4 linked regions of the Tamandua tetradactyla genome follow. The protein of the gene in region 1 binds, or shares a complex with, the protein of each later gene. Links are inferred from orthologs where the notes say so. Each region holds a gene or a part of one and is shown in the gene's direction. Other genes may lie near its edges. The genes, in order: PPP2CA, STK24, STRIP2 and STRIP1.

Region 1 (7,040 bases):
GAGCAACAAAAGAGGTTCTCTCGGGGGGGGGGGGGGGGGGTGACTCTTAGGGTTAATTTTAAGTAGGTGTGACCTATCCTTTGTGGGGTTAAGTTTCATATGAACAAATCCCAAGACTGGGGGCTCAGCCTATTGCTTTGATTGTCCCCACTGCTTGTGAGAATATATGATAGGATTTTTCATAAGCTGCAGAACTGGTGACAGTATTTTTATGGTTTACCCAGCCTACTGAAGTAGTGAACTTCACCTTTCATTTCTGAGTTTTTTTTTTTCTGGAACAGATAAAAATATTTCCGTGTAATTCTGACTGGTATTTGGATGTCATAGGCATCACCAGGGGATATGGTCATATTTCTCTCTCTCTCTTTCTTCAAGCCAAACTTCAGTAGCTAGGGGAAAGGGCTGTATTATATCTTTGTCAAATTTCCTCACACAAAATTTTGACCACATTTATTAAATTCTAAATCCAGTTGAAAGGGCAACATCAACTTACTTTTTCTTGAAAACCACAAAGGAGAGAAATAGGAATAGATAGTAATGCATTACAGCATTGTTGTGAACGTTGAATGCAGGAATCTTCTGACAGTTGGGCAGGCACACATGGCCAGAGCTTGCCTGGTTTCTTACGATCAGGGCCACTAAGATGTGGATTGTTCAGATCTTTATTTGGAGCTTCTGGAGCTTGGAAGGGTTTGGTGCAAAGGGCATTTTATCCTTTTAAGATATAACACACTTTTCTGATATAAGATTCGGAGACTGACCAACTGTATTAATTCTTGGATTTACTCTCAAATGACTTCCTATATACAACAAGCCTTCTCAATGTCTGCTTGATGGTGTTCCTTTTTGTTTCATCTCCACCTCTCCTTCCTTCAATCTCCTCCCCCATCCCTACTTTGTCTCTACTTGGCGTGTTTTTGATATCCTTTCATTCTGTTTCCAAAGACCACTAAGTATTTCATTATGTAGAAGGCAGGCAATGAGAGGCTCCAGCTGACATTAAAAGGTATTTAGAATTACAGACCACTTGGAAATAATAATAATATCTAGGGTATTTATGATACACCCCCTAACCCTTACAGTTTCATTTAATTCTCAGAACAGCACTTTTATTTGGCAATTACAACTATTTTGATTTTATAGATGAGAAAACTGAGACACAGAAAAGTTAAGTGACTTGCCAAAGGTCGCCCTGCTAAGAAGTTGCAGAACCAGAATTCAATCCTAGGTTCACTGGACTCCAGAGCCATTGCTTACCTATACTGCTCTACTTTGTGTCTCAGTAAGTACAGAGGTCAGGGAGCTGGACCAACAACAACAAAATAGGCCTAAGTTAAGGCCAAGAGAATTCTTTCTCTATGTTTAATGTCAATTTTTATATCTTAGCTAAGCCTGCCTGTTACACAGTCATTTGCTCAAGGTTATCCTCCCCCTACCCTGCCCCCGTCATCAGATGGTTTTTATTTATAGCCATGTTTAAACATCAGAGGCAACATTCAGACTCTCTGTATACTGAATTTGTTATCTGAGCAAAGATTGTTCCTCAAACCATATTTGCTTTATTTGTTCTCTGCTTTTTTGCCAAGAAATTAAAAGGACAATTCTTTTTGGTTTGCTTTAAAATTTTTGTTTCAAATAGTCCTCATTTCTAGAACTGAGTCAGTGAAGTCAAATCAGTCAAGTTCAAACTAGTCAAACTGAATTTTCAGATCCATCAGTTACTTTGAGTCCCACAGAGTTAAGAATATTCCAGATTTCTTCTAAAGGAAAAAATATTCTGAATAATTTAGTTTTGTACTGTTTATAATCATGTATGCTTTACTTCACTACATGAATACTAATGAGAGCTTCCTAAAATTCATTCCTTAAGAAGTTAAGTCATGGCATCTAATTATTTGGCAGGATGTCTTAAGTACATATAATTACATCTTCCCTCCACTTTATGGTGTTGGTGAGCCAAGAGATCTGCATCAAGAGAAAAGAACACCTACATTTATGCTATCAACAAGGATTTCAAAGTACTTTAGAAAAATCCACTCATAATCTTAGCACAAGGTAGGTGCTTAACATTTGTCTAATCTACCAAACTAACACCACCCTCACCTTTCTAGGTAAGAGAACTGCAGACAAAGGGAAACTGGATGGACCCTGTTCCATATTTCAGCCCTTGGAAGATCAGCTGAGCGAATGTGGACAACACCCTGCACTTGGGAGTATGAAGTTTCACATCTCGATCACTACCTGGGGCAAGTTCCTTTTCTGAGTGGCTGCCTGCTTCTTGCCGATCAGACAGGATCAGTTCTCACAGAGAAAGAGAGCAGTGATGAGGGATCTGATGAGACAGCACGCTGGGCATGGCTTTTAATCATGGGCACGGGTGATTTTTTTCCTTATTCATTCCACCTGGTCTTAAGTGACTATTTTTGGAGGATGTTAACTGCAAAATAGGGTCAGAATTTGGTCTAAAAAGGCTTTTCCCCAGTCTGGTAAGTATGTGATAAGCTTTCTGCAGAGATTCAAGGGACTCTTTTGGGTGCAGTAGTGGGAGGCATGACAGGAAAGCAGAATTGCAATTCCCAGCCTGGGATGGCCAAGCCAGTTAGCCTTGCCAAACACTGTCTTGGATGAAGGATTTTCAGTCCCACCTTTGGCTAATCCGGGACTCCAAGGCCTTCTTCCCAGGCTGTCGGTCGGGATGCCCTTTGAGCTGAGAGCGCTCTCCCCCGGTACAAGGCGCCGTGCTCGCGTGGGGCCTGGCTGTGTTGGGGGCAGGGGGCCTAGAAGATAGGAGACGGCTGCCCTTTCTGGCTACGTGTCCTTTGCAAAGCTTCTACCTCTCAGATTCTGGGGGCATCATAAGCCCTCTTCTGTCTCTCCTCAAGCCATTTTAAGCCGGTACTGCTGGGAAAATGCACGCTCCATCCGGGCAGCGTCCCTTGACTGTTTGAATGACCCCTCTCTCCGCAGGGTTGGTTATCTGGCACATAGTGGGCACTCTCCAAGGCCAAATATTTCTGTAAATTCTGGGACATCGGAATGTGAACACGTTTCGCAAACCTCACAGAGATTCACAATCAGACTGGGGTCCCGTCTTAGGGTATCCGGGCTTTCTGAAAAGCGAGGATCATCGCCGCGTCTGTCACCATCCGGAAGCGGTCGGAACCGACGCGTCCATCCCCGCGGCCTCCCACTCTGGGAAACAGCAAGGGCGAGCGGGAAAACTGGGATCGGAGGAAGGCGGACAATTGGGGCGAAAGGCCACGCGGGGTGTGTCCAAGTCCCGGGCAGAAGCCCAAGCCTTGGCCCCGCCACCACGCCTGACGAGACACCCAGGCCCGGGGACAGGTGTGTGCTAGGGCACTCGGGTGCACTGGGCGGCACTCCCCCAGCAGGTACACCTTCTTCCGCCTACGAGTGACCCAATTACCAGCTGCCGGCCGCGCCCAGAGTCTGGTTCACTCCAACCAGGTTGCATCTCAGCCCGGTCCCTGGCCCCACAGATACGGGAATTCCACGCAATTCCCGCGCTGTTGCAGCATGGAGGGGCCAGCGGAGTGGTCGCAATTTCCTTTCCGTGATCTGCCCGCCAGTTCCCAAGGAAACCGCTGAGGCGTATTACCAAGCCGATCTCGGCAAGAGAAAACTCAGGCAGCTCTGGAGTCCCCCCTCCCACACGGACTGCGCCTGCGCCGAACTCGGCGCCGGCGCCTCGCGGGGCGTAGACCTCGGGAAAATGCCCTGCTCGCCTCTGCAAACACTGCGCTCGCTCAGACTCGGTTCTTCCCCGCCTCCCCGAACTCCATCCCACTCCCACCCTCTCTGAGAGGCCACGCCCTAAAAGCGAAGGTGCCTCACTTATCAGCCGGCGACTTTGCGCCTGCGCCTTGGTTCCTAGTTACCGTCACACTGGGCTTTTGCGGTCAGCCAGCGTCCGATTTGCAGTTGCGCAGCTCGGGTCCCAGCCCTTTTCCCCTTCGTACCTCGCCGCGTCTGACGCCGGGCGTGACGTCACCACGCCGGGCAGCCGCCATTACAGAGAACCGAGCCCCGGCGCTAGAGCGAGAAGGGGAGGAGGCGTAGCGGCCAGTGACCGACAGTGCGGAAAGAGCCGGCAGACCAGCTTTAGGGTCGAGCAACCGCACACAGCCCCAGTAATATCCCGGGAACCGGCGGCAGTGTGTGCGGTTGGCCCGTGTGCGGGCTGTGGCGCGGGAGTAGCGCGGAGGGGCAGCCGGTTCGGGCGGGTGGCATCATGGACGAGAAGGTGTTCACCAAGGAACTGGACCAGTGGATCGAGCAGCTGAACGAGTGCAAGCAGCTGTCGGAGTCCCAGGTCAAGAGCCTCTGCGAGAAGGTAAGCTGGGCTTCAGCTTCGGGAACCGCCGCGGGGTGAGCCCACGGAGGAGGCGGCCGCCGGGAGGGGGCAACATGGCGGAGGCAGCCGTCCCGGGCCCCCAGCTCCTCCCAGACCGGCTCCCGGCGCGGCCCGGCGGCGGCTCCGGAGGACCCGGCGCCCCCTGTCTCCCGCCCAAGGATTGGTCGCCGCCGCCGCTTAAAATGGCGCCGTTCGCCAGAAACTAGGGGTTCTGAGCCTCTTGGCCTTGGAGCCGGACCACAGTAGCTGGGGGAGCGGAGACCCTGTGTGTCGAGGTCTTGGACGATTTTAAGGTCCGGGTAGAGGGACTTGGGTATGGCGGCCTGGGAATGGGGCCTGGGCCTCTACTGTGAGGTGGTTAAGGAGTATTTTACTTGTACTTAAGCTTAATTCTCAGGTGCTGTGCTGTCCACAGAATCCCCAAAGGCAAGCTTGTCGGCCAGATCTAGGACCTTAAAGATCACAGGGCTTTAGTACCATCCCAGGTTGTTTGGATTACATTCACCAAATGGTGTTCTCCAGACACTTATTTAAAGTGCATTTTTAAGAAATTTTAAATCTGTAACCTAATTTATACCAAGGTCAAAGTGATAATTATGGGGAGGAGTATAAAATACTTCTTTACAGTTGGAAGAAAGGAAGACTTTGGTGAGTCACACTGCATAAGGAGCTTTTGGATTGGAAATCAGGTTCGGTTTAATCTGTGATTTATATGCTGACTCAAATTGGGTTGTGTGAAACCCTTCTCTAAGTTTAACATACTTGGCATTTTGCCATTTTTAAAATGAGCAATAAACTGGAAGAGCGGCAGGTTTTGAATTGTGGCTCTTTGTTGAAAAAGTTAATTCGATTTTATTTTTTTAGTGCTAGTAGTAGTAATAATAATAGCTGCGGATTGAATCTTAACTGTGTTCTCAACACATCTTGGAATTTAGATAATTTCAAAGACGTTGAAAATGGGTTGGGTGTAGTCCACTTAATAACGCTAAACTTTGTAGTTTATATTATCTAGTTGTTTTATTTGTCCTTAGGGATTGGGGAAACGGTTTGCCTAATTGTACGCGTGTTAGCTGTGTGTATTTTTAAAAGTCTTGTAACTCCGTTTTCTTAAGTTTAGAAAAGGATCACCACTTTGAATAGTTTAAACTTCCCTTTTCAGAATTAACTTTGCAGCATTTCATTTTAGTACAGAATTGTGGAATGTCATATTAGCATTTTGTATTAGTGAAAAGTTATTAGAGAGCTGTTATGCTGACTCATTAGTGGTTTGATGTGAAAATTAGGATCATGAGTTTAATGTATATGCTCCCACGACAGACTTTCTCAGAACCCATGTTGTGAATAATTGGAATTTAAGCGAATCAAATTTAGTTTATTCCAAGCCTGAACAAAGCACTGCTAGTTAGAGGTGGCACATCATCTGTTGGAGCTTTATTTTAATGGTTAGCAGTGTACTGAATATTTTGTTGCTTTTTGACTCATTTCTTTTATGTCACATAAGGTTGGTATTTGTTTAAAAGGTTTGAAATAGGCTTTCAAAAATTATTTAATGTATATTGCCCTGTCTTAATTTCTGAGTAATATAATGATTTTACTGACTTTAGGGGTTTGGTACTAACTCTTTGCAAGTCAATATTGGACTAGATGACTAGTTATTCCTGTAGAAAACATTGGAAGAGAGGTAATGATGATATAATCTGAAGACCACCCAACTGCAAGTTAGACTTGGACCCAAAAGTCCGGTTTCTGTTACTGAGTGAGTAGTTGAGACTGACCTTGGGACAACCGCTTCAGTTGGTCTTCATTTACCTGTCTATGAAATACTTAGAACAGGCATTCTAAAATCCCTTTTAATTTCCTGCGACTTTACAATTCTGTTTTATATAGTACTTTGTATTTAAGTATTGAACATCTCTTGGGTATCCACAATTGCTTACTCTTTTGAGGGGAATCAAAACAGTGAAAAATAATCATTCCTATTCTCAGGGAGCTTTGAATCTAGTTGGAGAGACAACTGTGGTGTGGGAATCAGTAAGGAGATGTACCATGGAAATTGAGGGTTTGTGTTGGAGACATGGAAGATAAAACTGGATGGCTGAGGTAGGGTGAGGGAAGCTTGATGGATTTGCTAAATGTTGTTTTCCATATCTTTATAAAACTAAGGTACCAGTGAAGTAAGCTTGTTTTCAAGTCTCCTTTGATCAGTTAGCTTGTCCACATTTTAGTTTTGAAAGCGAAAAGGATGAAAATAATATTTGAAGTGTTACATAAATGTTTCCATGGAATGACTCTTTGTGGGGGTGGAGGTGGGGGCTCTCATCACCTAGCCTTTGTGCTGTTTTTAGCTTGTAAATATTTCAACTTTTGAAACTATATCAACTTTACAAGGTAATTAATTTGAAGGCAGCTTTTTAGGTATGTGGGATGAGTTAGGATGCATAGCTTGAAATGGTTTTATACAGCATTTCTACTAAAACAAAAAATCTCTTTTACTGAAAATTTTTTTTTGCATTGGCAGGCTCCGGGAATCGAACCTGGGTCTCTGGCATGGCAGAAGAGAATTCTGCCAGTGAGCCACCGTTGCCCACCCTTTACTGATAATAATTTTATGGCCAGTAGCACCACTGGGTGAAAGCTATATGTGCTTATTTAGAAGGCTACAAGG
Region 2 (7,796 bases), on another chromosome or scaffold:
TTCTTAAGAGGTTATGAAACTTACAGGTGAAGACAGATGTTTAAGAAACTAAATGTATAAGAAAATATTAAGAATAAAAAAACTTTTTATTCAACAGCATTTGGCATATGCTATCATATTGCAATTTCACTTCAAAACTTTTAATATAAATGTTCGTTGTAGGAAGTAAAGACAAGAAAAGAGAAAAAGATCACCTTTAATTCCAGGAATAACTGTTAAATCTTTTTGTCAATCTTGCTAAGGGCCCATCAATCTTATTGATTTTCTCATAGAACCAACTTCTGGTCTTATTGATTTTCTCTATTGTTTTCAATTTCATTTATTTCTGCTCTAATCTTTGTTATTTCTTTCCTTTTGCTTGCTTTGGGGTTAGTTTGCTGTTCTTTCTCCAGTTCTTCCAAGTGGACAGTTAATTCCTGCATTTTTGCCTTTTCTTCTTTTCTGATATAGGCATTTAGGGCAATAAATTTCCCTCTTAGCACTGCCTTTGCTGCGTCCCATAAGTTTTGATATGTTGTGTTTTCATTTTCATTCGCCTCAAGGTATTTGCTAATTTCTCTAGCAATTTCTTCTTTGACCCAGTCGTTGTTTAGGAGTGTGTTGTTGAGCCTCCACGTATTTGTGAATTTTCTGGCACTCCGCCTATTATTGATTTCCAACTTCATTCCTTTATGATCCGAGAAAGTGTTGTGTATGATTTCAATCTTTTTAAATTTGTTAAGACTTGCTTTGTGACCCAGCATATGGTCTATCCTTGAGAATGATCCATGAGCACTTGAGAAAAAGGTGTATCCTGCTGTTGTGGGATGTAATGTCCTATAAATGTCTGTTAAGGCTAGCTCATTTATAGTAATATTCAGATTCTCTATTTCTTTATTGATCCTCTGTCTAGATGTTCTGTTCATTGATGAGAGTGGTGAATTGAAGTCTCCAACTATTATGGTATAAGAGTCTATTTCCCTTTTCAGTGTTTGCAGTGTATTCCTCACGTATTTTGGGGCATTCTGGTTCGGTGCATAAATATTTATGATTGTTATGTCTTCTTGTTTAATTGTTCCTTTTATTAGTATATAGTGTCCTTCTTTGTCTCTTTTAACTGTTTTACATTTGAAGTCTAATTTGTTGGATATTAGTATAGCCACTCCTGCTCTTTTCTGGTTGTTATTTGCATGAAATATCTTTTCCCAACCTTTCACTTTCAACCTATGTTTATCTTTGGGTCTAAGATGTGTTTCCTGTAGACAGCATATAGAAGGATCCTGTTTTTCAATCCATTCTGCCAATCTATGTCTTTTGATTGGGGAATTCAGTCCATTAACATTTAGTGTTATTACTGTTTGGATAATATTTTCCTCTAACATTTTGCCTTTTGTATTATATATATATCATATCTGATTTTCCTTCTTTCTACACTTTACTCCATACCTCTCTCTTCTGTCTTTTCGTATCTGACTCTAGTGCTCCCTTTAGTATTTCTTGCAGAGCTGGTCTCTTGGTCACAAATTCTCTCAGTGACTTTTTGTCTGAGAATGTTTTAATTTCTCCCTCATTTTTGAAGGGCAATTTTGCTGGATATAGGAGTCTTTGTTGACAGTTTTTCTCTTTTAGTAATTTAAATATACCATCCCACTGTCTTCTAGCTTCCATGGTTTCTGCTGAGAAATCTACACATAGTCTTATTGGGTTTCCCTTGTATGTGATGGATTGTTTTTCTCTTGCTGCTTTCAAGATCCTCTCTTTCTCTTTGACCTCTGACATTCTAACTAGTAAGTGTCTTGGAGAACGCCTATTTGGGTCTAATCTCTTTGGGGTGCGCTGCACTTCTTGGATCTGTAATTTTAGGTCTTTCATAAGAGTTGGGAAATTTTCAGTGATAATTTCTTCCATTAGTTTTTCTCCTCCTTTTCCCTTCTCTTCTCCTTCTGGGACACCCACAACACGTATATTTGTGCGGCTCATATTGTCCTTGAGTTCCCTGATACCCTGTTCAAATTTTTCCATTCTTTTCCCGATAGTTTCTGTTTCTTTTTGGAATTCAGATGTTCCATTCTCCAAATCACTAATTCTATCTTCTGTCTCTTTAAATCTATCATTGTAGGTATCCATTGTTTTTTCCATCTTTTCTACTTTATCCCTCACTTCCATAAGTTCTGTGATAACTGTTAAATCTTGATGTTATACTTTCCAAATGTTTTCTAGTTACAAACACACACACACATACACGAAGTAGCCTGAGATTAGACTATACATATTGTTTTGTGTATTTTCTTTATATATAATGAAAATATTTTCCATATTACTAAATATTGTCAAACATTTTTAATGAATATATAATATCCCACTGTATGAAATACTATCATTTAACAATCTGTTAGACTTTCAAGCTAGTCCTACTTTTCTTGCTATTATAAATATCATTGATTCTTTTTTTGCACAGGCAGGCACCGGGAATCGAACCTGGGTCTCTGGCAAGGCAGCGAGAACTCTGCCTGCTGAGCCACTGCGGCCCACCCTGAACTGAGTATTTTTTTTTTTTATTAATAAAAAAAAATTAACTAACACAACATTTAGAAATCATTCCATTCTACATATGCAATCAGTAATTCTTAATATCATCACATAGATGTATGATCATCATTTCTTAGTACATTTGCATCGATTTAGAAAAAGAAATAGCAAGACAACAGAAAAAAATAAAATGATAATATAGAGAAAAAAATAAAAATACAAAATACAAAAAATATATATATATATAAAAACTATAGCTCAGATGCAGCTTCATTCAGTGTTTTAACATAATTACATTACAATTAGGTAGTATTGTGCTGTCCATTTTTGAGCTTTGGTATCCGGTCCTGTTGCACAGTCTGTATCCCTTCAGCTCCAATTACGCATTATCTTACCCTATTTCTAACTCCTGATGGTACTCTGAACTGAGTTTTTAATATACATTCGTGCGCACTTCTTAGTTATCTCCTTAGGAGATGTTCCTGTTGGTAAGATTCCTAGATTGAAGAGTATGAACAAATTTAAGATTCACGTTCTTACCCATTTTGCCATTCATCTCTTTCTATACCTGTTTTTCCAGTATAGTAAATTTACACAAGATTGTAGTCTCCTGGGTATTAGGGTTCTAGCTTTGCTTAACCTTGTATTTCCCACATTGTCTTCAGAGTACTTAAGGAAGCAGGGCTGGAGGTACAACGAAGCATACTAGTGACCACGGTGAAGGTATCTGAACGTGTATCAAAGAATCCGGAAGAAAAGTATGTATATTTCCAAAAGGTAGGCGGGGATGAAGTTTTAGCGTCCCACGCCCTGTCTGATCCAGAGAACGCGAGAAAACTGAAGTCCTTGGAGTACAGTGACACCTCAGAGACTCAACACTCCTTACCACAGGAGAGGACTTGCGTATTTAGGGTCTATTCCAACAGCCTGTGAACTCTTGGGAGCTCATTAGCATGCCCAACCTCGCACAGTGAAGTCTCAAAACGGGGGCACTCACGGCTGTCAGGGAAGTGCAGGGTCCCTGAGACCTGCGGTGCAGTAATTCTGAATGACGCGCAGATCCTTTCAGTGGCTGCCACTCTAAGCATTGCAAATGAAATGCTTTTTGGAGGCAGCACTGACTCATTCCATCCTTATTTTTCCAATGTAATTGGGGTGGAGGCGGCTAAAAGGTGGAGGCAGAACTGGCGCTCAGTAGGCCTGAGACTTTCACAGGCAGTCGAAAGACAGGAGCTAGCGGTGTGTGTGTGTGTGTGTGTGTGTGTGTGTGTGTGTGTGTGCGCGTGTGTGTAAATGTCTAGACACGGTTTCCTTCCAGGGATTGTCTTCTCTTCCTCCTTGCCCCTCCCCATCCTATTTTTCCCTTCTCGTAGGCAGACGCTCCCGCCTTGGTCCAGAGCCCAGGGAATGTGGGGTTCAACCTCCTCACTTCTTCGCTAAATTCACAGCGCCTAGAATCCCAAAACGAGCTGTTTTCAGTAGTGAAATCACCAGGAATTACCGGCTCTCTTGGCCTCTCCCTTCTCGGTTTCCTCCTTGGGTTGTTGAAGTTTCACCCAGACACCGAAGAAGCTCCGCCCTCGAATTTTTTAATAGGTCACAGGCTGAGGCCCCTCGGGTCACTCTCCCAATCTAAGTTTCCCCTGACCCAAACCCTGCCCTCGGGGAGGTCGGCGGAGACCCATTTCCCCGGGGCCAGATGAAGAGGAGGAGGGCTTCGAGGGCCGGACGAAGATGGTGGAGTAAGAGTTGTTGCAAACCACTCCCTCGCGGCACAGGCTCTCCTTTGCGCGGGATCGGGTCTCCGGCCGGTGGCGGTGGGCACGTGGCCAATCCCCGGTTCCGAACTCCGTCGCCTCCTCCCCACGCCCAGCGCCCGCCCCAAGTGAGGCTCCCTCGGCTCCCAGCACCCGCCTTCCCTTCCTCTTCCCCTCCCTGCCGACTAGGAAGGGGTAGTGGCGGGGGAAGAGCCCTCGGAAAGGTTCGGGCCGCCGGCCCACCTCCAGCCAATCGGCTGGGCCCGGGCAGCACCCGACCCCGGTAGGCGGCGACTCTCGCGGCTGCGGACTAAGGCGCCCGGGCGGCCGCCGAGCCTCCTCCCCCTCCCGGAAACGCGGGGCGGGGTCCCAGGCCGGGCCTCGGGGGCGGGCGCGGGGGCCGGGCCGGGGCGGGCCGCGCAGCTGCAGCCGGGCGGGGCGCACTCGGGGCTGGCGGGCTCGGCGGGTTGTGCTCCCGGACTCCCGCTCCCAGGCCGCCAGCGCAAGCGGGCCGAGGCCGCCCCGGCTCCAGCCAAGCAGCAGCTGCAACTCGCGGCGACGCTCCGCGCCCCACGCGCCTCCGCGCAGCCCCTCCCCGGCACCGTGCATGGAGACGCTGCCCGCCGCCCGCCGCTGAGCCCCGCCGCTCGGACCGGGATCTGCCGGGGCAGAGGGTGGGCTCGGGATCCGGCCGGCCCCGACGAAGCTGGACTCGGGCTTCCCCGGTAGCCTCCGTCGCTCGAGGTCTGCGTGCGGGCAGCGGGCCTGGTCGCCCGCACCGACCGCTTCGGCCCTGCCGTCCCGTCCCAGGAAGTGACCGTCCTGACCGCCATGGCTCACTCCCCAGTGCAGTCGGGCCTGCCCGGTATGCAGGTAGGTACGAGCCCCGGGCAGCGGGAGGGGCGGGATGCGGGGGCTCGGGCGGAAGCGGGCAACTTGGCGGTGTAAACACAGCCCCCCCCCCCCCCCCCACGCTCACCCTTCCGGGGTCGCGCGCCGGAGCCTCCCTCGCTGTGTTCCCCGCTGCTCCGCGCGCGCGGCCCGGGGCTGGGGAAAGAGCCCTCGGAGCGCACACGCGCCCCGGCCCGCTCGGGCGGCTGGGACTGGGCGCCAGGCGGGGTCCTCCCCTCCCATCCCGGGCGCCCTTGCCCCTCGCCGCAGCCTGCCTCTTGGCGTGGGGGGAAGGGCCGTAGGGACCGCGGCCTGGGTCTGGCCGGGGGTCCACGGTGGAGGCGGCCTTCGCCGGCCGGAGTCGCGGTTGTTAGGGAAGAATGTGGCGGAACCGGCCTTGGGTCGCCTTCCCGGTTTCCCTCTCCCCCCATCACCTTCCTGAGCTCCGGGCAGGCGTCGGCCGCATCCCCAGGGAGAGCCGATGCCAAGAAATGCCCTGGGAGGCCCCAGCTTAGTCCCTGGGCCCTGTATGCGGGCCTGGGGCGGAAGGGCCCCTCAAGGCTCCCGACCCCCGCCCGCCCGCCTCCCCCTCTCTTCTGGGTCTTCTGCCTTCTCTGGAGGGCGGGAGGTAAACTTAAGAACTGGGAGGCGAGCCGAGAGCGCGCGCGGACTGGTCCTGGCCCGCGGCGGCCCAGCCCGGGTGGAAGGAGCGAGGGCGGGTGTCGAGGAAGGTGTAACTGCTAGTTCCACCTCTAGTAGATTTGTTCCGAGCGTTTTGTTCTGAGGGAAGAGTGCGAGCTGGTAAACCTCCAGGAAGAAGAAACGGTACAGCGTGCACTCGGGCGACCCAATCCAGGCTTTTCCTACCTGATGCCGGGATACCGGACTTTTCCTTTAAGGCTTTACTGGGCTTAGAGTAGTTGTTTCCCAAGAAGTGTCTCCGTGGGTACTTTGTGGCATCATGGCCTACCACTGACTTTTATTGGGGGGATTGAGTTTCAAATCTGTACTAATTCATTAAAGTTTTTCACTGTTAGCCTTTTGGAAAAAAGAAAACCACTCTCCTTCGCTAACTTGTAATTTTTGTAAATGCACAAATGGTGGTAGCAAAACTATTAGGATTAAAATCAGTTAGGATATGTCTAAAGTTTTGCTCTCTCAAGCAAGTGAACATAAGAGCTTTAAGAATAACCAGAAGTATCCAAGTGGATTATTATCATGTAGATATCAGTGGAGTAATTTTCTCTTCTCTTCTCCTTGCGGGTTGAAAAGCCCAGTGTAGACAGACCTCTTCTATTATGAGCCAGGCATCTTCCCCCCCTCCCCAAAGAGACTTTTTTTTTAAAACATTAAACAAAACAAAACAAAAAAGACTGGGTTTCATCGTTGAGGTTTCAATTCTAGAAAAATAGGAACTCAAAGTTACTACTTTAGTGGCGGCTGTAATTTTAGACCGACTTTTTTTTTTTTTTAAAAGGAGTAACAGTTAATGTTTTGTTTTAAGCCTGTGACTAGGAAGATGCTTGAAGAAAGTCTGTCCTTGAATCTCATTTAAAGTTCTTTTATTGTATTTAAAACGTAATGCTGTGCTTATTTTTGCTTTGTAAAAATCAGATGGGATTTTTTTTTTAATTTTAGCAGTTTTATTTAAGTAGAATTTACATGCAATAAAAGTCACCCATTATAAGTGTATTGTTCAATAAGTTTTCGCAAATATATATGTATATATATATTTAGTCATATAACTACTACCATGAGATTCAGGGATTTTTGAAGCAGGACTCAGGCAAGGGGAGCTGCTGGAAACTGGTTTGGCCTTGACTAAGAAGGACCTTTTTTTCCTCTGGGAATGGGGTAAGGATGATATAAATGTATATAAATACTCATTGAGGGTGGGGTGGAGTAGGATATGGCATTGAAAGCATTCCTAATGTTATCAGATGGGATTTTGAACATAAAGCTCTGCTTGGTTTTTATTTGGAGACAGAATGAAGTTGGTGAGAAAAAAGTTTCTTACCAGTAAAACAAGAAGGACCTCCTGTAATGCTTTAAAAAATACATTTTATGAATATTTCCTCTAGACTGACTTTTATATTGTGTTAATCAGTTTGTAATCTAGCACAAATGCCTCACTTAGAATTCACCTTTGTGGAAAGTGAGTCGGTGTGAAAAGGTATTTAAAGCTCCAGTGACCTGCACTAAGAAGTCTGTATCAGATGGTCACTCTTTGGTATCTGGTCTCAGTGGTTTGTTTGTCTGTTTTGCCCTCTTTTTTTTTTTTTTTAAGGGAGTGGGCCAAAATTTGAAAATCTTGGGAAAAGACAGTAGATTTCCTTTAATCACCTTGCCTCCAAAATAAAGTGTATTTCCTAGGTGGTATTACAAGGGAACTTTTTTACTTTGCTTTCTCAGTGAAAGAGCTTATAAATTTTTCTTAGCAAGAAAGCTGACCAGGTTTTCAGCAGTTACAGTTTTAGAAAATGGCTTTATGTCACAGTCATTTCTGTACTTAAATACCTCTATAAATCTTAGTATAACTGTTTTTGAGTGTGCCATTTGGGATAGAAAATTTCCTCTATTCACACTTATCCCCCAAAAGATAAAGAACAGGCGCGTTTGTTTGCAATTTTGAATTAGGAG
Region 3 (7,897 bases), on another chromosome or scaffold:
GCAAAGCCTGAATCTGTGGAGCTCAGCATGTGCTAAACCTTACAGAGTATACTATGCCCTGTTAGAGTGAAGAGGCCCATTTCAAACAAAAAGAGAGCCATGCTGGGGACTTAAGTGAGATTGCTAGTGTTGCTGCCCATGGTGAGGTATTTGCCTTTGAGAATCAGAAGATTTCTCTTTCTCTTTCTGGGAACCCTGTTTCATCACCCATAGAAAAAAAAGGCCTAGGCCTACTCCTGAGAATTTGGGCTTACCCTTAGTGTTGGAATCTGGTCATTATTCCCTTTACCCTTGGAATCAGAACAAATATGTCATCTTCTCTACAAGTTCTCACTTTAGATGCATCCTAGGTCTGGAAATATGGGAAAGAGAGGTAATTATCTCTATGTGTGTGGCCCTGGCCTGTGGGGATACATTCCATTTTCCCTACAATGAATTTGTGCTACTTTCCAAGATCTTTTTTTTTAAATCTTATTAATTGAAATATTGTTTTCTTTTTCTCATTAAAAAAAATTGTATCTGATACAACTTTTCTTTGCCCTCCCACCTCCCCATCCTACCGTTCCATATGAGCACGGCTTCCCATGGCCATATACTCCTGCAAAGCTTTTCTGCTGCTTGGCTTTTCTCTGAACAGATCTGAAATTGCTGCTCCTGTGGTTTTCTGAAAATTAGCTTTGTCACAGTTTAAAAAAAAGAAATTAAAATGCATTGTCGCATTAAGCTTTTTTAACAGGAAAATTACGGAAAGAAAATAGGCAACACCAGCAAATTATATGTGGTCAAGTTCTGAACTATACATACATATATATGTATATCTCAAAAAATAATCATCTAATTCTTACTGTCATCTTATTGAAAGGAAATAAGACCTCTGAGGTATGTCATTTCTGAGAGGCTCTTGGAAATCTGTATGTCTGAGTGATTGTATTAGATCAGCAATAATGACTATGTAATCTCAAAGACAAATAAAATATTCCTAAAATGCATTCTTGTCTTGAGAGTATTCCTTACTTCTGTGATCTAGGAATTCCACAAAGATGGGAGTTGCCTCTGGGCAACACACTAGAGAGACTGTTGTGGGGTGAGGATGTGAAAAGGTGAGGCAGTTACAAATAAGTATGTTTGAATGTACTTAGTCTTGAGACCCTTATTCCATGGGATGGAGTCACTCCACTAATATACCTTATCCCCCTTACCTGGTGTGTGTGTAGAAAACCTGCTTTCTTAGAACCCTTATCATGTGCTGTGAAGTTGAGAAGTGTAGGCTTAAGGCAGGGATGCAAAAGCCTGGCTTTAAGTCCCCCAAGCCCAATGTGTGTTGCCCTTGGCTGAAGAACACAAGAAGTCAGTATCCCCACCGCTTGAGGCCAAAGGACCCTGACACCTAGGATCTGATTACATCCAACCAATAGGAAGAAAAAAGTGAATCAGGTAAAAGTTTATCTCTTTAAATTAGAGACATAGAAATTTGGGTGCTTTGGGTCCTTGTTTCAGGCTTGCTGCGCTAGTTTCTCAAAAGAGCTTGGGCTTTGAATTAGACTAACTTGGATTTGAAGTTGTATGACATGGCCAAATTATGTAACCATTTGGAGTCTCAGTTTTCTTGCCTTCAAAATGGATAGTGCTTATCTGCTAGGGCAAGGATTTAACTATCTGATTTATAAAAATGCTGTTTACAGAGCCTGGCACACATCATATACTGCATAAACATCAATTCCCTGCCTCAGTCTGGGGCCTACAGCATCCATTGCCTCATTATACCCACATGCGCCGTTCATGGGGGGAGGAGAATGTTTTATGCTTTTTCTATTAATCCTAGCTGCCATATATACTCACAAACTAGGTTCTTTAAGACTTCTTACACCCTGTTTTTAAGCTTTCTCAGTGCCAGGTATTGTCGCTTTAATCAAGTATATGACCTCCATGGGTTAAAGTGCTTATATGGAGCACTGGTGCTGTAACTATTTTTATCTCCAACCCTCTGTCAGGCTTAGAATACCTGAGTTTGGGGACAAGGGAAATTGGTAGGGTAGGCCCATCTGCTTTCAAAATAACAGTCCTGGATCCATCTCTAAGATGAAAGAACTTGTAGACTAGCCTCTGAGTAGTTCCCAAGTATGTTTATGAATGACTCTGTGATCAATGGTATTGATGATCGTCACTCCTTTGTTGAAAAATAAGCTAAAAAAAATTGAGTGTGTGCCAATTCCATGGTTTCAAAGTTTTCATTTAATATCTGGTTTCTTATTACTTCTTCCATGGGTTGTTTCTCGATGTCTTCCTCCTTATGACAACTCTGAAAGTCTGGGCCTATAATGAACAGGTAGATGTCTGATCTGTCTCCCATTCCACTGGGGTGTAGAAACGGTAATGGATTAAGGTCTTTCTTCATATCGATTCTTTACAATTTCCATAGAACCAATTTTTCAATTCCCTTTTCCAGGAGTGAAGCCAGATGGAGCTCTAGGTTCAACAATTAGCTTTAAATAGAGGCCAAAGGGGACTTGAGGGCTGTCTTCAATCTTATTCTCAATTGATGATCAGTCTCCTCCCTTTGTCCAAGATAGGCAGGAAAAGGAACAAAGCCTCAAAAGTGGTGACTCCCATCTATTACCTCTGCTGGGAATCCTGCTGGTTGGCTAGGCTCACAAAAGAGAATATGAAGTTCTGGGCCTGTCAATCCTAGAGCTCTGGCTGCTAGAAGGAAAGGTACTGGGAAGACGGAAGTGTAGAATGATTAATTCTTTGTATTAAGAAGCCCCCATTGGCTGTGCTGTGACAGGTTTATGACACTTAAGCAGTAATGAGCTAGGCATGGGTTATAAATTTTAAAGAAGAGCGTGAATTCTTAAGAGTTTAACAAATTATACCCACTAAAAAATTCCAAACTCAAATAGCTTAGGTCTTGAGCCAGGGACTTTCTTAAAAATTCATATTAGTTCAGTTCTGTTAAAAGAGTGGATCTTAACCCAGGAAGATTTTGTCCCTTCCCCAACCCCCTCCAGGGGACATGTGGCAAGGTCTGGAGACATTTTTGATTGTCACAACTCGGTGGTGGGGGGAACGGTGCTACTGGTATCTAGTGAATAGAGGCCAGTATTCTCCGAAACATTCTACAAGGCACAGAACAGTCCCTAACAGCAAAGTATAATCTAGCCCAAAATGTCAATAGTACGAAAGTTGAAAAACCCTCTGATAAACCTGTAAAAATGAGGCATACAAAAATGAGCAAGACTCTCAAGGAGCTTATATCCAGGTGGAGGGCAGAGTGGGAGAAGAAATGAAAACTGTGTGGGTACAGTAAGGAGACATTTGAGAGCAGGGAGAGAAGGGAACCCAGATAGATCCAAGGAGTGCAACACAACCTCCATCCCCCCTCCCCCCACCGACTCTGCCTTGATCTGTCATTTACTGACTAAACCAAGGGAAGAGTCGGGCAGAGACACATTTAAGAAGGGGACAAAGTTGTCCCTAAGATGTGGGAATAGGGGGTAATTCCTTTGGGCCACTTGTTTAGGGGATATTGTGGAAAATGTAAGGGTTTGGGATCATAGTTTCACACGAATGCTTCCAGGAGGGTCAAGAGGAAGGCTTCCTGGAGGAGGAGGTGGTGAGAACTAAATAGAATCTTTAAGGAAGAATTTATCAGTCAAGAGAACAGGAAGTTTCCTTTAGACAGAAAGAACAGCATATGCAGACACTGAGACGAGATAGAACACAACAGCTTGGAAACAGTGAGGGTTATTGAGTCCTGGTTTCCTCATAAATACAGTGGATTAGTGAAATCAACCCATCAGAGAGTATGATAACCTGGTCTCAGGAAAGTGATTACTGCAATGTCAGACCAGTGTCAGCTCAACCACCACCACCACACCACACCCAAATCCCTTCCTAAAGCTATCCTCATGTTGCTTGTTTGGGGACTTCTATTACCAACAACACAGACTGCCCTAGTTATTTACTATAAGCTGGTTTTTACATAAATTCCTGGGAGGGTAGACCACATAGCCTCATTTGCCTCAGGTAACACCGAAACTTTAGGAAGGATCTTAGAAAGGAAAGGACTGGGGAGCAGAGTGGGGGTGACAGCTTGCTCTCCAATATTTACTGCCTAGTTCACACCATGAAGAAGGCGCCCTACAAGAACAGAGAAAGCTGACCAGGGCATCCAACAATTTCGGTGACCTGAAAACGTCACCCCACCCTCCAACCCCTTATCTGCCAGCCAACCCTTCACTCCGGACGGGATGCGTTCGCTTCAGAAATCTCAGCTCCAGAGGGCGAAGTCCGAGTCCCTTGTTCTCTGGGGAGTCCCTCGCCACCCCTGGTGCCCTCCCTCCACTGCGACTGAAAGGGGATTTGGTAAGTGTGGAGGAGGTGTGGAGAGGGCAGAAGTCTGTGAAAATGGGGAAGCAGAGACAGCAGTGGAGCAAGAGGCGAAGACTACGGCTCCCCTCAAAATGTACCTGCTTGAGGCAGAATGAGGGTTGAAGGACACCTAGAGAGAAGCAGAGATAACTAAGGTTAAGACCCAGAACTCGCGAGGGGGTACCGTGAGCCAACCCAGGAGTCTTTGGCTACCAGCAACGCGGCACGACTTAAAAAATAAGATAAAATTTTTAAAAACCTTATATGTACCCCCTACCTGCTCCAAGTCCTGCTCGGAAAGGCCGAAGGGCCAATCGGGCCGCAGGGCGGGGCTGCGAGGAGCAGCCGTAGCCAATAGCTGCGGAGGGGGCGGGGCCGGGCTCCCGGCGCGCGGCTGCTGGGTCGCCCAGGGCAGAGGCAGCGGAGACACCGACTGGGATCCTAACCTCATGGAGGACCCAGCGGCCGCCGGGGCCGGGAGCCAGCCCGCCAATGGCAACGGCAACGGCAACGGCAACGGCAACGGCGGCGGCAAAGGGAAACCGGCGGCGCCTAAGGGCCGGGAAGCATTCAGAAACCAGCGGCGGGAGTCGGAGGTGAGGAGCCAGAACCTTGGCTGGGGCCGGGAGACGCCCGCGGGCTGGAAGCCGAGGCTGAGGTGGTTCCTCAGCGTCCCCTCCCCCGCCCGAGACCACGGCGTGTCCCGGGCCGCTCCTGGAGCCGGTGTCTCCAGAGTCCACTAGAGTTTGCACGCCTAGCGCTGCACCCCAACCCTTCACCGCAGGTCTCCCGCCGCGCACTGGGGGCTTTTTACCCCTCAGGCCTTTCCCGTGGAGGCGCAAAAATGTAGGGCGGTGTGGTGTGGTCCCGATGCTTTTCAAATATTATCTCATTTAATCGTTTCAGCCCCTTGTAGTAGGAGTTCGGGTCCCCATCCTGCAGAGGAGGAAACAGGCGCGGGGAGGTTAAGATACTGGCCTGAGGGTTGGAGGCCAGAGCTCAACCTCAGAAAAGCCTCTGAAATGAAGGGTCGGCGGGGTGGGGCAGCCCTCCCGCCCCAAGGCTACCTGTCGCGTGTCCCTGAGCCGATCCAGATTTGCGGTGTGTGCTCTGGTCTTCCCCTTCCATTTGTGTGTTATTTGGCCCTTTAGGGAGTGCCTTCCACAGCCTTGAGGAACCCTACCTTAGAAAGGACTTTGATAGGAGCAGTGAAAGAAGTGGATGTTTGGATAGAACTGTCCTAATATACAAACATAGCTAGGAGTATGAATGTTTGGGTCTCTTCCTTTTCTCCTAAAAAAGAAATCCTAACCAAGAGGATGAGAGGAGTGCATTCTGTTCAATCCCCCCACACCTCCAGCCTGCCAGTTTCCATCAAATAGCCTAGAATAGAATTGGATCTGAGCATGGATCAGAATAATAAAACCACAAAATGCCAGCTGTGGAAGGGTCTCTAGTCTAGCCCTCTCATTTTACACACATGAAAGAGACAGAAGTAACTTGCCAAAGATCATACGTACACCTGGCGTAGTGGCCAAGAGCACCAGCTTTGGGGTCGTTAGATGAGGATTTGAAGCCATGTTCAGTCCATGGCTTGCCATATGAATTGTATTTTTCAGTTTATAGAGTGATTTCAGGGATGCTTTTCATTGTGATAAAGGCAGAGTAGGAATCTTTCCAATTGTTTTAAAGATACAAGTGGAAGAAGTGAAGAGACTGACCCAAAGTCACACCACCTTTCAGAGGCAGAGCTAGGTTGAACCCTAATCCTTCTGCCTTGCTAGGTCAATGTTCCATCCACCACATCATCTGTCTCCCTGCCTCAGTAAGAACCTGGCCTCTTAGGGCACTCTGTGCCTTCCTCACACCACAGAGATATTTTTCTTATTCAGATGTGTTTTTTGGGTGGATGAGTCATTTATTAATTCAACAACTAGCTATTGTATCCTTTCTGTCAGGCATTGTTTTAAGTGCTAGGTATACATCAGTGAACAGGACTTTGCCCTTGTGGAGCTAATGTTCTAATGGGGAAAGTCAGATAATTTTTGCATGTAAATAAATAATCAAAATAATTTCGGAGTAATATGTGCTAAGAAGGGAATTAAAACAATCCCTGTCCAAAACTCCCTTCTGAAGGAGGAGGTCTGTTCCCCACTCTCAAGTCTTCCTTCAGCAAAATGGTCTCTGCATTCGGAGACTAAGACCTTTCCATCCTTCACCGCAGTTTACCTCCTAACTCTCTGCAACTGCACTTTTCTTTCCTGGAAACTAACAACTGCAGTGATCATCTCTATCTGGGCTCACTGCCTGCCAAAATACTAGCTGGAAAATTAGCTTGCTTCCACCTTCCTCTGCAGCAGGAGATCACTTTTACCCATCAGTACATTCCCTATCCCCCCAGCACCAGGTTCCAGACTCAAATGGCTAGCTCCTTTCCCCACCCTCTCTCCTTTTGCTTTCATGAAGCACAGTCCTCAGGGGAGATAGCTTTCCTTCCTCTCTTGGACTTAGAGAATGACTAGAAGAGAATTACTGTTGGAACAAATCAAGGGAGCATCCTTGAATATCACCTTGTTTATGTGGGCATCGTTGACTTCCCCTCTCTCAATAGCTTAATGTACGAACATCCCAACCTAAAAAGGAAGCTAGAGAATAATTGCTTGCCTAATGAAAAGATTCTTAACATAGCAAAGGGGTTCATCTCTTGCCTCTTTAAGCCAGATTCCCCTGGTCTCTTTATTCCCAATGTTCTTGACAAAATTTTAACTGGTCTGTGGCAAAATGAGGAGAATTCGGAGCAGGGAATCGAGTTTCTCATAAAATGCAGTTCAGTATATCTAATTTAAAGGGTGTATACAGTATATTTCATTTAAAAGCAGTGTTTTTCAAACTGGAGGGCAACCTGTGAGTTGGGACCAGCATTTTCTTTTTTAAGAAACAGAATTAAAAATATCAGAGTACATCACAAATATTAAGGGTAAAGATTATTTTGTTAAACTTTTGGTCCAGTTTTATATGTGTGTGTGTGTATGTGTGTGTGTGTGTGTTGGGACATTTGTAAGTGTGTTTGTACTTTTAATAGCTTTCTTCTGTTCTGAGATTATGTCCTTTCCAATTTTAGCATATTAAACTGTTCTTTCTTTTTTGAAGTGTTTTCTGAAAAAAGATTTGTAAGTCCCTACTTATTCAAACAAAATATCAATAACTCAGTGTCATTCCCACTATCAAACTTTCTGTTTTATAAAATTTCTACTGGAAATTTTTGGAAATCTTTGCTACAGTGGATTTAAACATGATTTGCCTTTTTGGCAGTGTAAATTGGTACAGTGTTTTTGAAAAACAGCTTATCATGTACAAAAAGCCATACAAATATTCATAGGATTAGATGCATTAATTCTTTTTATAAGAATCTATGATTAGAAAAGATCTTACATATGGAAACATTTACTAGTTCAACTTCATGCATATAATAATAAAAAAAATCTAAGTCTAAATATTCAACAATAGGGAACTGGTTAAGTAACCA
Region 4 (8,100 bases), on another chromosome or scaffold:
ATGGAGCTTTCAAATAAGTAAAATATGAAGGATAATGGAAGTCAAGTTTCTCATTTTCGGAGAGGATGCAACAAATTAAAAACGGAAGAAACTAGAATGAACTCGGTGGTATTGGATTTGAATTGGAGATATTGGTGTAAACCTGTGAATTTCAACATAAGTAAATATGGAAAGGCAGAGTGAGTGTATGCTTGTATGTGTGTGTATGTGCAAACATTTCCTAGCTCTGCTTACTGAGTAAGTCTCGGTGTAGTAGTTCCCTCTTTCCCCTAAGACGAATTGTTCTGGATTGTAGGCCAGAAGATACTTGTCACTGGATCCCAGGGCCTTTTCCCCTCTTCCTGCTATCCTGTAGTATAATTTTCCATTGCAGCCACCAGATGGCGAGTTTTCACCTGTTACCTGGTTGCCAGGGTCTCTGGCCAACAAATGATAAAATCTAAGTTCACAATCCCTTCCTCCAAAACCCTTAGGTTTTGAAACTGAAAATTTTTCAGATTTTTAGGTAATCGACGAATATACTGCAGATTGTGTAATACCTATTAGAGGGCTGCGACACAGCACCCATAAACATGTTAATATTTCTGTAGCAAAACTTATGAATATTCACAGCACAAGGGATAAATAAAGACTATTAATGGACTCCCATAATTCAGATTAGGGTTTGCTGCCAAATTAATTTGTGCCAAGCTTGAGAAAAAGCACTTGATTTTTTTAGAGTTGTTTTGAATTTTGGAATTTGGATAAAGGCTTACAACCCTGGAATAATGATCGTAAAGTGTATAATGTTTGCTGTGTATCTACGCTTCATCCTCAATGTGTTACACAATTAGCATATTTGAGCTTTACAGTAACCCCATAGATAAGGTTTTTTACATCCTCTTACAGATGGAGAAGTTGAGATGATGCAGTTGAGCAACTTGCTCAAAGGTAGCAGATGCTAAAGACATCTGCATCCCAGCCCAGATTCACTTTGGGATTAAAAAATCTCAGCAAACTGATAAAACATCTCTATAAATTACATGGGAAATAGTTTGTGATTTCTATTTAAAATTGTGGTACTGAGTTACTGAGTGATTTTTTTAATTTAATTTATTTTGTATTATCAAACCAAAACAACATACAAACATGAACATTCTTAACATACAAACATTCCATGTATGGTGTACAGTCAGTGGCTCACAATATCATCACATAATAGTATATTCATTACTGTCATCATTTTTTAGAACATTTGCATCACTCCAGAAAAAGAAATAAAAAGAAAAAACTCACACGTACCATACCCTGTACCCCTCCCTCTCATTGACCACTAGTATTTCCATCTACTCAATAGATTTTAACTTTTGTTCCCCCTATTGTTTATTTTTAATCCGTATTTATTCATCTGTCCATATCATAGACAAAAGGAGCATCAGATACAAGGTTTTCACAGTCAACAGTCGCATTGCAAAAGCTATGTCATTATACATCGTCAAGAAACATGGCTACTAGGACATAGCTCTACAGTTTCAGGCACTTCCCTCTAACCTCTCTAATACACCTTAAACTAAAAAGGGGATATCTATAAAATGTGTAAGAATAACCTCCAGAATAACCTCTCAACTCTGTTTGAAACCTCTCAGCCACTGACACTTTCTTTTGTCTGATTTCTCTCTTCCCCCTTTCGGTGGAGACGGTTTTCTCAGCCACTTGATGCTGAGTTCCAGCTTATTCTTGGATTTCTGTCCCATGTTGCCAAGGAGGTTTACACCCCTGGGGGGCATGTCCCACATCGAGAAGGGGAGGGCAGTGAGTTTGCTTGCTGCATTGGCTGAGAGAGATAGGCCACATCTGAGCAACAAAAAAGGTTTTCTGGGGGTGATTCTTAGGCCTAATTTTTCCCCCTATTACATATTTATTTTTAATCCATATTTTTTACTCATCTATCCATACTATAGATAAAAGGAGCATCAGAACAAGGTTTTCACAATTACACAGTCACTTGCGAAAGCTATATCATACAATCATCTTAAAGAAACATGGCTACTGGAACAAAGCTCTACAGTTTCAGGCATTTCCCTCTAGCCTCTCTAATACACCTTAAACTAAAAAGGGGATATCTGTATAATGCGTAAGAATAACCTCCAAGATAACCTCTCAACTCTATTTGAAACTCGCAGCCACTGACATTTAATTTTTTCTCATCTCTCTTACTCCTTTCAGTGGAGAAGTTTTTCTCAATCCCTTGATGCTGAGTCCCAGTTCATTCTAGGATACCTATCCCATGTTGCCAGGGAGGTTTACACCACTGGAAGTCATGTCCCACGTACAGAGGGGGAATCTTATGCCTAATTTTAAGTAGGCTTAGTCTTTCCTTTGCGGGGATACGTTTCATATAAACAAACCCCAAGACTGAAGGCTCGCCCTATTGATTTGGTTGTTCCCACTGCTTGCAAGAGTATCAGGAATTCTCCAAATGGGGAAGTTGAATTTTCCCCCTTTCTCACCATTCCCACAAGGAGACTTTGCAAATACCTTTTATTCGTTGTAACCGAGTGATTTAGACTTGCAATTTTAAGTTGCTGGAACTGGAATTAACCCAGGGGGTCTGGCCTCAGAATCAATGCTCTTGACACTAAGCAATACCACTGTTAAGAAACAGCCCCAGTTCAGTTCAACTTGTGGCAAACAAGGTTTTGGTACGCATACCAAGGTAACGTGAAGCTTGTTAAAAATACACATTCCTGGACCCTATCCCAGGCCTACTAAAACTAACTCTCAGGGCCATAAGGAGACAAAGATTCTGAAAATCAAATATCTCTTCAGAGTCACATCACAGTTGATGAAGTAGAGCCAGGATTTGACCCATAGTCTTTCTGGCTCCCAGATCCCATCCCTGTCCCTCCACTGACCTGCCTCCCTTTGGCCTTCTAGGCAGCTTCTCATTTCAGGCACACTTCTCATACCTTAGCAAAGTTTCTCTCAGCATCAGAAACTTGCCACAGGCATCCAAAACTCAAACCGCAGGTCCCAAGCCTTTCCTAACTCTTCCTGAACGCAGACATTGATAACCTGCAGAAACTGAGCTCTGCTTCCAGAAGCCAGAGCCAAACTGGGTCAAAAATATCCACACTTAGGGCACCAGTAGTCCACTGATAAGCCCTTGGGCTCTTGGGCTCTTGACTTGGTTGCTCTTAAATCACAAAATGACTCATCTTCATTATTGATTCTATTATTTCAGTGCATGAAAAACAAAAGGCCCATTCTCTTCAATGATTCTCTTGCCTTTGTATATCTATCTGGGAAAATTACTTCTGAAGGGCAACTGAGAAGTGTTTTCTAGTCCGGGAGCAGATGAGGAGTCTGGATAAATTTGAGGTAGCACACTGCTCTCCAGGTCAGCTGAACAGACCCCTCTGAAAAGCATTGACTTGCTGCTTGCTTTCATGCAAATTTGTCAACTGAGGGGATAGGTTTGAGTCTTGTTTTTGTGCATGTGTTTTTGTTTTTTAAGCAAAGCCTGCTTTAGCTCAAGTTTAATGGGGAGATTTAATGAGGAGGGAACTGTCTTTCTCTCACATACGGTGGGTAGCAAACCAGCACTTGCGGCTTTTTCCTGTCTGAGCTGTGGGTTTGCTATTATCCAGTAAACAAGCTCTTTTGCTTTTCTAATTTTCTTCTCAAAATCAAACCATGGACTATAGTTAATAGTACAATTATAAAATTGGGCTCTTATCAGTTGTAACAAATGTATCACACTAATGAAAGATGTTAATAATAAGGTGACTTGTGGAACCCTGTACTTTATGCATGATTTTTCTGAAAACCCACCACTTTTCTCTAATAAAAAAATAAATGAACAATATGAAAATACCACTACATGATATGAAAATGAATATGCTGCAACCCCTATCATTTAACCTTATATATCATTTGAATCTGTCCCATCACCTCCTTCCTCACCCCAAGTCAAGCCTTGGGATGAGCCAGCAGCCCTGGAACATCATCAGAATTGAGCCAGTGGCTTCCAGCTAAGTCATCTCCAGGTTCACCACCCACAGAAACTGATATAATAAATGTTTTTTGTTTTAAACCTTTAGGTTTTAGGATAATTTGTTACACAGAAATAGAAACGAGTGCAGGTACGTTTGGATACCGTGGTGCCCTGTACACGCAGCTTTCCCATTCATGGCTGATGCACTCATCCCTCAGCCAGGTTTCCCCTGGCTGGCTCAATTTTAGCTGCAAAGACCTCAGGGCTCTGCACTTAGCTGGTCATTCTGCCAGTGTCACCTCCACCCATCTTTGCATGGCTCTCTCCCTCACTCCTTTCAGGACTCAACAAAATTGGCCTCCTTATGCCTGCCTGCCTTGTCCAAGCAACCGAAAATAGTCAAACCTCTGCCCTCACCCCCCATCACTTTCTAATCCCTTACGCTTCTTTGTTTCTCCACAGCACGTATGTCTCTAATTATGTATGTACTTGTTGTTTGTCCTACCCTTTTAGACATTATGAATATACTATGTGTTGAGGAACTTGACATGTTGCCCATTCTATTCGACTGCCTGGAGCATAGGAGGTGTTCATTAAATATTTGCCGAATGAATGATTAGTACTTTCAAAATTTTTATTAATTTGTTTAGTGGCTGTCTCCCCCATGTAAATGTACATTCCGTGAAGACTAGAAGCTTGTCCAGCTTGTCTACGGCGGCTATATCCGCAATGTCTTTAACAGGGCTGTAACAGTGACAAGTGCAAAGTACCATTGAGTGAAGGAGGCGACAACTAAATTGAAATTTCTAAGGAAGTCCTCACAGATAAAATGTCATCCAAACTATCGGGACTGGAAAGAGAGCGGAAACTAAAATTGGAGAAAAGGGAAGAAGTACAAACATTTCAGACACAGGCAATCACGGGAGCTTATTGAGCAGCCAAGATGGCTTCCAGCACACGCTGCCACACTTAATATGGCGACCAGGGAGATTCCCTGACAGAAATCACGCGAGAGTTGCATCACGGCGACTCGGAGAATTGAGCCGGGGGTGTGGAGCAACCAAGATGGAGCCGGCAGCTGGCGGCCCGAGCCCGCTCATCGTGAACAACAAGCAGCCTCAGCCGCCGCCACCGCCGCCGCCGGCATCCGCTCAACCTCCACCCGGGGCACCGCGAGCCGGCGGGAGCCTTCTGCCCGGGGGCAAAGCCCGAGAGTTCAACCGCAACCAACGCAAAGACTCGGAGGTCAGGATATCAGGGGGGCGAGGTGGGCACTGGGCGCGCGGCGGCGGGGATCCGAAGTGGATCCCTTCACAGGGTCCACACTGGGCTTCCTAGAGGGAGTCGGCACGGCCGGGCCTGGGAGCTGTCATTTTAAAGCGAGAGGGGCGGGAAGCAAGACTGGTGTCTCCCGGGCCAGGGGTGTGAAGTCGGGGTCCCCGCCCGGAGCCCCGCCGCCCCGGAGGACTGTCCGGAGCTGGGTGACGGCTCGTGTGCTCCTCTGGGACCGGAACTGTGGGGGCGGCCTCGGGGCCACAACCGCTGGGAAAGCCGCCCTCTGGCCCAGTGCGGTGGGAAGAGTCATTGGTCTGCGTGCGCTCCCGGGGGCCGGGGCGGCTGGACCCCAAACCCCCTAATCTCTGAGCCTCTGGCCTCGGCCCCGGGCTCGCGGGCTCGGGCTTGTGGCTCCCGCAGCGCGCTGTGGACGGCATGTGTGGGCAGAGGAGGAACTGGCGAGGGTTTAGAAGGCACTTTGAAGCCGGACGGAGCTAATTATCATTAATGATACTGTGCGCCCAGAGGTTGCGAGGGTAGGAGGGGAGAATCGCCCGGTTCCCTCTGATGCTGTGCTGGTGTTTGGTGGTTGCTATGTCCCGTGTGCCTAAAGCTGAAATATTAAAAATCCGAAATGCACATTTTAAACATGTGTTAGAGCTCAACATCCCCTTCTCTCTTGCTAGAGGGCTGTTCTTCCGTTCTGGAGCTGACTATTCACCTCTCCCCAAGTTAAAGAATTCCTCCCACTGCTTCCTTTTGTGGAATTCATGAATGAAGACACATACATCGCAGAATTTTAGGGTTTCTTAATTAGCACGTTTCCAGAACACTTACTATGAGTCTCCTTCACCTGAGATAACTCCAAGGCTGGTTGATCATCAGTCATGCACTTACTGGGAAGGAATTCCTTTTTGTCAAGAATGTACTGGGTCATACCACCCAGTGATACTGTCTTTACACCTGTGAAATCAGTTCTTCTCAAACTTTTATTTTGTTTTTTGTTTGTTTGTTTGTTTGTTGGCAAGCCCAACACACATTGTAAAACATGTCAAAATATGGCAACTATAAAGTTTATGTGCCCTGAGCTTGAAGTGAATTATTTGATAAAAGGAATGAAGTCAACTTTTCAGGAGCCCTAAATAACATGATGGGGTGATGGGACAACAATGGTGAATTCTTCCTTTATTGTTATTATTTTTTCCTCCAGTGGTGAGTTCTTACTACCCTTTGAAGTAAGGAGGGTTATGAAAATGATAGGGGTGAACCCACCTTCATTTTGAGAGAAGATATAGTTTAAAAAGAGTTTTACATTTTAAGTACTTATGAATAATAGTTAATGCATTTTAATTTCCCTTTATGCCCTTTAATTAGCGCAGGGAAGGGCAGTCAAATGGATTCGTTTAAATTGAGAGAAGTCTAAGTTCATTTTCTTAGTAGATGCTGCTGCTGCTGCTCTCTGCTCTTTCTTTAGTCATAGTTGAAATCAATAGACTGGGAGCCTGAGCAGAGTGAATGCTTGGAGGGCAGGGAGGCTGACACTTGATGAGAGCCCACTGTGTGCTACATAATTTTGATTACTCCTTAAAATCAACAAGGTAGATTTTTGTCCTCCCCATTCCATGTGTTAGGAAACCGAAGCTTGGTTTGTAAAAGTGTACACTGTGTTGCCTCTGAATGGGCCAAATAAGTAAAGTTCTTTTAGTTGCCCTGTGTTTGTGGGTCTGCTCTCATAGCATACCATGGATGGTCTTTGTCTTCTCAAGTAGATTACGATTCAGACTAAAACATAACCTATTGCTTCGCTTCCTCTTTCGCCCCAATACAAGAACAAAGAGTGTGTTCTCAGTAATCATCTGCCCCAGCAGTAAAAATATTATCTTTGTCGCGTTGTCCCATGTGTGGGAGGGAAGCCGTTCTCTGCCACTGCTGCCTTCTCCAGTCCTTCAGTTCTCATTGAAATTTGAGAGAGGGGCAGGAAAGCTGAAGGGCTTTCAATACCCACTTTGTCTTGAGCAGTTAATAGTCCACTAGCTAGAAAGAAATGAGGCTTCTGGAATCTTCGCACCATCTGGCTTGGTCATTCACTACACAAAATACAGAGAAGCATTGTATTCATTCATTCAACAAGTATTTGAGCTTAAACTGTTCATTCACTCATTCATGCCAGGTACTGTGCTGGGCATTCTGAAATCATCGGTGAGCAAATTGGATAACATTCCTATTTTCAAGGAACTTGCAGTTTCGTGGAAAGATAGATACTACACAAATATAAATGCCAATATATAATTCGAAGTTATGTTAAGTGCTCTGAAGGAAAAGTATAAGATATTCAGAGAGGATTTAATAGGGAAAACTGAGCTGGCCCAGGAGACAAAATATTGTGATAAAACAACAAAAAAGTGGGGCAGTGATATCCTGTAACACAATGGTGAGTCTGGAAGCATGTTTGTTTTTTCCTTTGGAAAACTTTTTGAATGTTCTTTTGCATAGGCTCTCTTGTATCTCAACAGGGCTATTCCGAGTCACCAGACCTCGAGTTTGAGTATGCTGACACAGACAAGTGGGCTGCAGAGCTCTCTGGTAAAGCATAGATCATTGTGTTGTTTTGGGGATGAGGGAAGTGTGTTTTTTTTCTTATTGATCTTTAAGAATATGAATATTGTTTTGAAATTAATTTTTTTCTCAATCCAATTAGTGATGTGTATTAAAAATATTATTTGGTTCAAGCCTTGAGTATCTCATGACTTTAGATTGTCCTTCACTTTTTTGAAGCCTCTGTGTAGTCAACTCATTGACCAGAACCCATCGTAATGTGGGACAGTTAGTGATGTCCCTTGACCATAGAC

What was found.
Region 2: PPP2CA (region 1) and STK24 share a complex: the UniProt entries of both Homo sapiens proteins name them as parts of the core of STRIPAK complex. The link is inferred for Tamandua tetradactyla from reciprocal best matches to the Homo sapiens genes PPP2CA and STK24.
Region 3: PPP2CA (region 1) and STRIP2 share a complex: the UniProt entries of both Homo sapiens proteins name them as parts of the core of STRIPAK complex. The link is inferred for Tamandua tetradactyla from reciprocal best matches to the Homo sapiens genes PPP2CA and STRIP2.
Region 4: the proteins of PPP2CA (region 1) and STRIP1 are in contact, whole or in part, in a cryo-EM structure (PDB 7K36), measured with the Homo sapiens proteins. The link is inferred for Tamandua tetradactyla from reciprocal best matches to the Homo sapiens genes PPP2CA and STRIP1. Residues at the interface, in NP_002706.1 of Homo sapiens: Thr40, Glu42, Ser43, Asn44, Ser171, Pro172, Ser173, Ile174, Asp175, Thr176, Asp178, His179, Arg181, Ala182, Leu183, Asp184, Arg185, Leu186, Gln187, Glu192, Gly193, Pro194, Gly208, Trp209, Gly210, Ile211, Tyr218, Ile224, Thr227, Phe228; in NP_149079.2 of Homo sapiens: Gly421, Leu422, Pro426, Phe436, Lys443, Phe444, Pro460, Arg461, Pro462, Ile463, Glu465, Ser466, Thr469, Leu470, His473, Arg726, Lys730, Met733, Ser737, Tyr740, Gln741, His745, Arg746, Leu747, Asn748, Asp749, Trp751, Ala752, Tyr753.

Annotation. Positions count from the first base shown.
Region 1 is NC_135346.1:13,268,718-13,275,757, reverse strand, and holds the start of PPP2CA (serine/threonine-protein phosphatase 2A catalytic subunit alpha isoform), read left to right. Parts: upstream 1-3,890; 5' UTR 3,891-4,252; coding exon 4,253-4,354; intron 4,355-7,040. UniProt on the Homo sapiens protein: Catalytic subunit of protein phosphatase 2A (PP2A), a serine/threonine phosphatase involved in the regulation of a wide variety of enzymes, signal transduction pathways, and cellular events.
Region 2 is NC_135330.1:167,460,531-167,468,326, reverse strand, and holds the start of STK24 (serine/threonine-protein kinase 24), read left to right. Parts: upstream 1-4,708; 5' UTR 4,709-5,096; coding exon 5,097-5,138; intron 5,139-7,796. UniProt on the Homo sapiens protein: Serine/threonine-protein kinase that acts on both serine and threonine residues and promotes apoptosis in response to stress stimuli and caspase activation.
Region 3 is NC_135327.1:170,910,284-170,918,180, forward strand, and holds the start of STRIP2 (striatin-interacting protein 2), read left to right. Parts: upstream 1-4,773; 5' UTR 4,774-4,820; coding exon 4,821-4,967; intron 4,968-7,897. UniProt on the Homo sapiens protein: Plays a role in the regulation of cell morphology and cytoskeletal organization. Required in the control of cell shape. Calmodulin-binding scaffolding protein which is the center of the striatin-interacting phosphatase and kinase (STRIPAK) complexes.
Region 4 is NC_135337.1:12,888,795-12,896,894, reverse strand, and holds the start of STRIP1 (striatin-interacting protein 1), read left to right. Parts: upstream 1-5,032; 5' UTR 5,033-5,041; coding exon 5,042-5,221; intron 5,222-7,764; coding exon 7,765-7,834; intron 7,835-8,100. UniProt on the Homo sapiens protein: Plays a role in the regulation of cell morphology and cytoskeletal organization. Required in the cortical actin filament dynamics and cell shape. Part of the striatin-interacting phosphatase and kinase (STRIPAK) complexes.